2 linked regions of the Xenopus tropicalis genome follow. The protein of the gene in region 2 interacts with the protein of the main gene of each other region in a biochemical or structural test. Links are inferred from orthologs where the notes say so. Each region holds a gene or a part of one and is shown on either strand. Other genes may lie near its edges.

The links.
Region 1: the proteins of bmpr1a (region 2) and bmp4 form a complex in vitro, tested with the Homo sapiens proteins (3 studies listed by BioGRID and IntAct, with this or other methods). The link is inferred for Xenopus tropicalis from reciprocal best matches to the Homo sapiens genes BMPR1A and BMP4.

What each region holds. Positions count from the first base shown.
Region 1 is NC_030684.2:94,978,942-94,983,474, forward strand, and holds the start of bmp4 (bone morphogenetic protein 4 precursor), read right to left. Parts: upstream 2,953-4,533; 5' UTR 2,804-2,952; exon of another isoform or gene 2,556-2,803; intron 2,042-2,555; 5' UTR 2,035-2,041; coding exon 1,674-2,034; intron 1-1,673.
Region 2 is NC_030683.2:49,285,445-49,290,006, reverse strand, and holds the start of bmpr1a (bone morphogenetic protein receptor type-1A), read right to left. Parts: upstream 3,083-4,562; 5' UTR 2,873-3,082; intron 1-2,872. UniProt on the Homo sapiens protein: On ligand binding, forms a receptor complex consisting of two type II and two type I transmembrane serine/threonine kinases.

The sequences.
Region 1 (4,533 bases), on a different chromosome or scaffold from region 2:
TATTACCTTATAAGGCTTCTGTTTAATAGTTGTAGCTAAGGACTTACTGATTTTTAGCATCAAATAGCTAAGAACTGGAGCAGTATCAGATGACCATTAAAAAAAACATGCACTGACAAAATGTCAGGTTTCACCATTCCACTGAAGAGAAGTTCTTTTTTTAATTACTACAATTAGATGGTCTAATGTAAGACCAACCCAACTGGTCTGATCCTCGCAGTAGGATTAGGCAAGACCTGTAGGACATGTTTAAGAGATTACCGCTTTATTAAAGGAAATGTATCTGAGGCCTTAACTTGCTGCATATTTAGCTAGTTGGTATAATGCATCCAACAAACTGCAGAACATGTCTATGAGTCATGGATTTTAGAATGATGGGTCACACTCCTAGCGTAACCCTCTATAGCAGAACCAGGCAGGAACATAAAAAAAAATCTAGTACATCTCAAAACAGCAAGTTAGTAAGGGAGGTTCCCAAGAGTCTACTGTCTTGCAAGTCTTAACTGCTTATAGACCACACCAGGACAGGTTTATGGCTATGGCGCTGGACACCTTTACTTCTAAAATAATTTACCCTGTACCTCCAAATGCCACAGTCTAGTATATGGTTAGGGATAAGGCTCCCTTTACTAATTTTGCAGGAAACTGAACAACAGAAAACAATTTACAAACTAAAATAACTAAAAGGATGTTACACTATGTAAGTACTGACTCACACCTTACGGCAGCTTTAAGAAAAGGTCTGGGCAGGTGTTTCAAATGCTAATAAGCGTGCCTTTGTTTTGGCTGTTACAATGCACTACTCTGTGTTAGTTTGTTTAGGCATATGCATATTTAGCATGTAAATGCAAGAATGTATAATGAATAGGCTGGTCCTCCTTGCAGTGTAAGCTACCAAGAACAATTAGGGATAATTAGATATGCGTATGTGAAGTACATTCTTGTTATATATGTGATCAAAGAACCAAATTATATGTGTCTGATAAAAAGTGAATCAAGTCTCATTATTAGAAATAAATCAAATATTACTTGGAGTTGGCCAAAGTAGAAAGCAACAAGGGAGAGTAAAGGAATTGCAGGTCCCTGGCTGTCATATTGGGGTACTGTATCAATGTAGAGGTGATACCTCAGCAAGGATATATGAAGATGCTTTGGATCTACAATGGCATAATTCAGAATATAATGATATTGCGAATAGATTGGTGTCACATGAGGATACTTATCCATGAATAAAAGGGGTACTCTCTAGGTTACTCAGACATAATACATGGAAAAGGAGGAACTTGTTATACTATATACTCAAAGAATACAATTGCTGCACTTCCTTACACATATCAGAGGAATAAATCAATGTAAAAACTGTGTTAATCCGGATGAGAATAAGATGGGGATCTTGGGGTATTCCAAGCAGTTTGGGAAGGTTAACCCCCCAAAAACACTTGCAGAACATAGCTAGCTTATTCGTTTTCCATAGACAGAGCAGTAAAGTAATGGGGTCCCCACAGATGAGAGGAGTACTCTGTGTGGGAGAGAAATCGCTGTGCTGCTTCTGCCATACCCTAGCGGTAGGTAGCTGGGGCTGCTCTGGAGAAGGGGGGAAAGGGCGGATGGTACAGTCCGTCATTTTTCAAACTTTGCCTATCCGGGGCCGAAAAGGGATTGTAACTACTCACCCTCATGATGGAAGCTCCTCACGGTGTTAGCCCGGCTGGTCGGTCTCTCCGGGTACTCCATGCTGATATCGTGTAGTTCATCCTCCTCCTCCGCTGACTGAAGCCTGTACAGGTCCCGCATATACGCGGGCACCACCACATCCTTACTGGGCTGCGGCCGCTTGCGGAGGCCGAACATCTGCAGCAGCGTCACCTCGAAATCCCGCAAGAGCTCATTGCTCTGAGCGGACCTTCTACCTCCCTGAATCTCGGCCACTACTTTCTTCTTGCCCGTCTCAGGTATCAGGCTGGCATGGTTAGTGCCTCCTAGCAGGACTTGGCATAATAAAATGACCATCAGCATTCGGTTACCAGGAATCATGGTGTCTCTGGAGGGTGCAGAACAAAAATACATGCAAATAAATAGGGAGGATCTGTAGGGGATTAGACTCAAATCAAGTGATAGAGCGGGATCAAAGCAAATAATAGGACAAGGACAGTTCCACTGAGCCACCCGGGGCAGGGCGAGAGGGGGGGTGCCTGGGGTTTCTTGGGCTATAACTTGTTCCCAGTCACATCCCTCATTATCAGATAGTCACCGCCATCCTGTTGCTAATCTGACTGTGAGCGTCTCCCGGGCTCCAGACAATTAGCACCAGTCTGACTCCTAGCACGATCAGCAGCTATAGAATTGCCCCTGCCATTTGCCCTTTTGCAACAAGTGCCAGCGCTCCGGGCAGCTGGATCATGTGTTCTGCAACCCGATAGCCCGCGATGTGTCGGCGCTACAGCTGTGATACATGCCGCTATCAGTCCCCCTCCGGCACAAGCGCACGTAACGCTCGGCTATCCAGCTGCTAAAGAACTACAACACTCCGACCCCCCCACCCCAGTTCAGCGAACCTGGCCAAAGAATGTTGGTACTTGTAGTTCTCCAACACCTGGAGCGCAGAAGACTGACTTGCCGTTCTAGATGTGTAGCACACTTCTGTCCTAGAGCGCTGCGGGGGGGCTCAACATTGTCTCAGGTCCTGCCATAGCCTCAGCAGTAAGTACCCAGAGCCGTGGGGTTCCTATGCAGGAGGGCAGCTACGGGCAAAGTACACAAGGGGGGAGATGAAAAATACAGAATGAACAGAAAGTCTACTCACTGACAGAAAACAAGGCATAGAAAAACAGTCCATGATTCTTGACTGCCAATCTTGGACAGAAATTTGTGGAAAAGCTCAGTGGGACTCGGGACGCAGTTTGCAGATGGAGATGATACTATGGAACTGGTTCCTAAAATGAATATTGGAATATAATGAGAGCGCAGCCAGCAGGACTCTTCTTTTACTCCCAGCCCCTTTTGCGGATCACGTGGGGGGCAAATCACTCCGGGAAGCCGTCAATCAAGGCAGCGGCCGGCCCACCCCGCGGCCTATATTAGGGGAGGGCTCAGCCCAGACTGTCCGAGCAAACTTGTGTGCGTGTGGTACCGCTAGCAACGGCTCGCCTTTCTACTTGGCTCCGTGTGCCGGGCTCATCTTTCCTTATGCTCTAATCTCGTGTTAATGAAATTGCCATCAATGTACAGGGAGCCGGACTGTGCTTGTAACAAAAACATGACTGTCCTACGCTTTACCTCAGCCACGAACAATTGCTTGTCTCGCTGCCTGTGTCATGGGGCAATCGGAGGCGTTCATGTGAAACGCCTGACATTTTGCTGTACTTGACTAAAGAAGGCTGTCATTTTAATAGCCCTGCTAAGCCTGCTCATCCAAGAAAGCGTTAAAAGGCCATTGGGACTATAAATGAATCGATAGACTCGTGGTGTAGTGCAAGGGCGCACCTTCCTCACCTCAGGCTATTTCTGTGTGAAAGACTTATTACATATCCCGCTAATTCTCACAGGAATACCTCAACCCAATAACCTAGACTACCCCCCACCCACCTCACCCACCACAAACTCAGTCATCCCCGAGAATATCTGCCCCTGTTCACTATACTTGTCACTGCAACAATCGCGTCTGTAAACTCGATTTCCTCCCAACACCTTACTCATTTTTACCAGCCTACGCTCCGCCATGTCCTTCATTTATAATGTGCAAAAATCATTTCTAGGACTCCAGCCTATCTTTACTATTATCATCGAGCAATAAGTTTGGTTACCAACCGTACTGGGGATGTTTGGTTCAGAAGGAAGGGGGGAGGTGTTCTCAGAATGGAGGGCAACCAGCTATTTATTCTAAATACAACTATATTTACCTTCCCCTGCAAAAAGAAGGTATTGTTAACATTGTGAAACGATTTGCACCTTGATTTGTAATCAGTGTTAAATTTAACATACAGTAGTGTAGCTTTGTGGGGGTGGAAGTCTTTGGCACCTGTGGGGAGACAATCAGCTACTGGGAACACATTGTTGTCTGGCTGTACCAGTTCATGTCACTTTACAGAATTTTATACCATCATATTTCACATTATCAGGTGTGGTTAAACCGAATTTACTGATCATTTGTGTTAAAATACCAGCAGAATTAGTAAAGCACAGTGACTTATTGCCAGTGATAAGGAAATTTAAAATAATGTTTTTAACATGTATACTGTATCCTCCAGTGAATGCATTTGCTTTGACCAAAACTCTTAAGCCTAGTGTATACAGTAGTTTTATCTGTAAGGCTCTTTTTATTCACTGTAAAAGTGTAAAAAGTAATCATAACCCATGCCAAAGTCATTTATGGCAGCATAAAAAAGCAATATGCACTTTGCATTTTAAGGCAGTTATACTCGGTGCCAGAGACAAAGCCGGCACACTGCACACCCTTCTGTCACTCACCAGGTTTTCTAGGCCAGTCATTAGGAATTAGCCATTTGTCCTGGAGACAAAAATCTTCATCCTGTG
Region 2 (4,562 bases):
CACTAGCAGATAAGATACTGAATCGGGCTAAAGCTGGCCATACACGCACCGATACTATCGTACGAAACCTATTCGGTGCGTGTATGGCATGTCGGCAAGTCGACCGATATCGCAGGAAGCTGCTGATATCGGACGACTCGCCGATCGGCCAGGTTAGAAAATTTTGATTGGGCGCCATAGAAGGCGCCTGACCAAAATCTGCCGTCAGGGCTGAATCGGCAGAAGGAGGTAGAAATCCTATTGTTTCTACCTCCTTATCTGCTGTTTCAGACCTGACTGTGTGTGGCGGATCTGACGATGTGACATCGTTAGATCGCCACGTGTATGGCCAGCTTAAGAGATTGGTCGCATCGCAACAAATCTGTTGTTAAAGATATACACATACTTTTTAATGTATATATTGGACAGTGGCTTAGCATTGGGGATGCACAGAATCCAGGATTCGGTCTGGACTTTTTGTCACCTACACACGGAAGCTGAACATTTTTCACCGCACATGGAGCGTGTGGTACACTTTAACCCTTTCTAGTCCTAATTTGCGGTTCGGTATTCGGCCAAATCTTTCACAAAGGATTCAGAGTTCAGCCGGATCCTAAAACAGTGGATTTGGTGCATCCCTATTTAGCATTATATATTCTCCTCTTATGGACAAAGTTTTTGGGAGAAACACCCGATTAAATTAAAAGAAACGTCATAGCGTATTAGGTTATTATTATTACTACATTTATAAAGCACCAACATATGTTGCAGTGCTGTACATACAGTTACTCGTCTACCCAATATTTAAGGAGTATTATGAATGTAAGTAACTTTAAAAGAAAGCTGCAGCGATGCCAGGTACAGGTATTGGACCTATTATCCAGAATGCTTAGGACCAAGGGTATACCAGATAAGGGGTCATTCCGTAATTTAGATCTTCATACCTTAAGGGGCAGAATTATCAATGTAGGAGTTTGAATCCCGAAATGGGCAAAATTTGGATCAAATACGATAATTTCTGATGATCGGAAATGTCACGAAAAAAATCATAATAAGCAGGATAATATCGTAATGTCGTTACGAAAGTCACGAAAATTTTGTATCCGAACGATCATAAATGGCGGGAAAACTGACTGATTCTTCAGTGCATGTTTTTGGAAGCCTCCCATAGAACTCAATGGCACTCTGCAGCTCCAACCTGGCCCAAGGAAAGTAACGATAACGAAGCTTTAATGAATCCAAAACTTTAGTACTCAACGCAACAAATACAAGTTTGTCGAGCAAATTGTCGCACAGTACAAAAGTTGCAAAACAATGCGCACAGTACGAAAACTTAGAAAAAATACCATTTTTTTTGTATTTAGAAACAATCGTACTTTGATGAATGTGCCCCTTAGTCTACTAAAAAAAAAAATCAATAAAACATTAATTAAACCCAATAGGATTACATTGCACCCAGTAAGGATTAATTATATTTTAGTTGGGATCAAATACATAGCAGTTATTTTTACAGAGAAAAAGGAAATCAAGCTGAATTATTTGATTAAAATGGAGTCTATGGGAGACAGGTTGTCCGTAATTCGGAGCTTTCTGGATATCAGGTTTCCAGATAAGGGATCCCTTACCTGTACATGTTTTTAACATCCACACATAATGTGTTAACGTTTTCTGAAAAATTAACAATGTCACACAATTGCTATCACTTTCCATCATTTAATTCTAAATATTTGAAGTGGTCTACTTTTTTTTTTGGTTTAAACCTAACTTAACTGCTATCTGACTATACCATATTAAATGTACTGTAAAACAGTACAGAGGAATCCAAACCAATGAATATTCTACACAAATATAGAAAGCATGCAAGAGATGATGCCAAAACACAACCATACTGGAAAAGTTCAACATTGTTGCTCGAGACCCTAAGAATACACTCCACCAAAATATGTATATTTTTTTTTTTCCAAATAATTTTTTTTTTCATTTTCAATTATATGAATAGGGGTTACAGAATTGAGAGGTAGCGAAAATATGTAAATCGAAACAGACTTCTCATTTTGTGATCGATCTTACTATGAAATGCCATTTTGCTTATTACACTGTTAAAGTTTGCAAGAGATGTTTCAACAAAATATGTGCATATATTCAAAATTTTAATGCAAAATTACCAAAAGCAATAAATTAGAACATATTCAAAATATAAACGACTTTAGAAACAAAACATTTTCCAACATGAGTAACAAGACTAAAACATATATTAAACTTGTGGATCATCAGCTGGGCTAAACTACAACTCCCGACATTCCAGTAAAGGGCCAGACATAACAACATGAGAGGGAGTGGGGTTTTGCAATGGCAGAGCCTCTACCCCTCAAGCTGATAAGTTGTGGTTAAACAACACCTGGAGGGCCCTATCTTACATTGCACAAACATGAAGAAAGGTGAGTAAAGAGTAAATAGAATCGACACATGGGGAAGAACAAGATGGTGGAGAAACTGCAAATAAAAACTAAACAAACGCCCAGAGGTGACCAAAGGTAATGAAGAGCTCAGATTTGAGCTTACAACCTTACAACATTCAAAGCGAAGTTAAAATGTATTTCATTAAGGACTGCGCTAAAATGTGTGTAAAACTGGAGTGGAATCACTGCAATAAAGCACCCATACTACAACGACAAAATCTACAGCTCAGCCATGGCCCTCAGCTCCCAGCATCCTGCGACAGCCAGGCAATAGTTTCCTTACACCACAAGCAATAAGATAACAAATGGAAGTCTACAACTAGCCCGCCTCCCCCCTTATAGCCTATACACATACACGCAGCCCCGCATAGCAAAAGTACAGAAACCTTTTATATAAGCACACACCGAATTTTCTCCCACTCCTGCTTACTCACCAAAACTCCAGGGCTCCTATCTGTCGCCTAGCCGAATCCCGATAAAATCCCGTCACCCTACTGCGTAAATCGCCGCCAGCCGCTTTCCCCGAGTTCTCACACCTCCCCGTGCGCGTACACAAGCCCCATGCACGGCGCCGCCACCGCCACGCCACACAGCAGCAGCAGCGCTGGGATACGCACGCCTTCGCGTCACTTCACGCTGTCTTGGGAAATTAACCTTGTCTGCGCCGTCTAGACTAAAAGTGCTAAGAGGTGGCAAGACGTTTTCCTTTTAACACTGGTATTTAGTAATATCTAATGTTTTTTACAGCTCTTGGCGGACCAAGGTTGCACTGTTGTAGATACAGGTGACCTGGAGGGAGCCACAATTCTTACTGGCTAGAAATGTAATAGGACATAGATGTTCTCATGCATCAGTGGTTCTCAACCTTCCTAATGCTGCCACCCTTTAATACAGTTCCTCATGTTGTGGTGACCCCCCAACCATAAAATTATTCCTAAAACCATCGGAAATATGTGTTTTCCAGGCGACCCCAAAGGGGTCCTGACCCACAGGTTGAGCACCGCTGGCACACATGGTTCATTTTGTGGTTTAACGTGGCTTTATCTGCATCGTGTGATGCTTTTTAGCTCATGTTCACCTTCTTGCTCTAAACGTGATGGTTGATGCAAAGTATTCATTTTTGTGGAGTAGTTTCTGGTGGATTCAAAGGTAGGAGGTTCTAAGACTGATGGGCCACGGAGCGAGTTAGTCGCCTGAGATAGATATTTGCTACCACAGGTGACAGACTGTTCCGGAATACTTTTCTCCTGGAAACAATAGGTGAAAAAGGCCTACCTACGCGGAATGCACTGGGAAATTTACCCCCCCCGATACCTGGAAGTGATGTTATGAACGTCATGCACACTTCCAGATGTGACGTCATGCACATGCGCAAAATTGCAGCTGAAGACAAATAATTCTACTTGTGCATGCGCAAATGCATTAAATGACATCACTAAACGCTTACTGCACATGCACGCCCGAAATTCACCACTGGACTTCATGAGACTTCAGAAAAATCGAGAGAATGCTGCTGGGGGTGGGAGAATTGGGTAGAGCCTTCAAAACAGGTAACTCCCGAAATGGGGGGTCGACAGCTCCGGCCTATGAATCGTTTCAGCTTTGAAGTCAAGCCTGCCAGAGGAAATGTTAGTTAGACTCCTAACTTCTAACATTAGATTCCCTCTAATGATTCTAATCACTTACCTGATAAACCCAGCAAGTACAAAAAATGGCACCTTCCTAGGATACTTCTGAGGGAGCACCACAATGCAATATTCTTCCTTATTCTTGGCAGATGTGCATGATCAGTGGAGTGAAAAGCCGACTTTTAAGCAAAAAAACACCTTTTTCACTCTTCAGCACAGGTGTCAGCCCAGGGCCATTAAAGAACAAAAAAATTGATCCATGGTTCTCGCTTAGGTCCCCTGGGTCGGTGCCGTTTTCTGCTAAAAGGCGCGCCAGACTAAGGTATCAGGTAAGTGATTGTAATCACTGGAGAGTGTTCAACATTTCGTTCCCGCATGAATTCGTCCCTTAAGCAGCACTTAATCATAGGCACAAAATACTTGAGGTCTTATTAGATTTAAAGGAGAAGGAAAGGCTAATAAATAGTTAATTTCAAAATGCAAGCATACCTTCAGT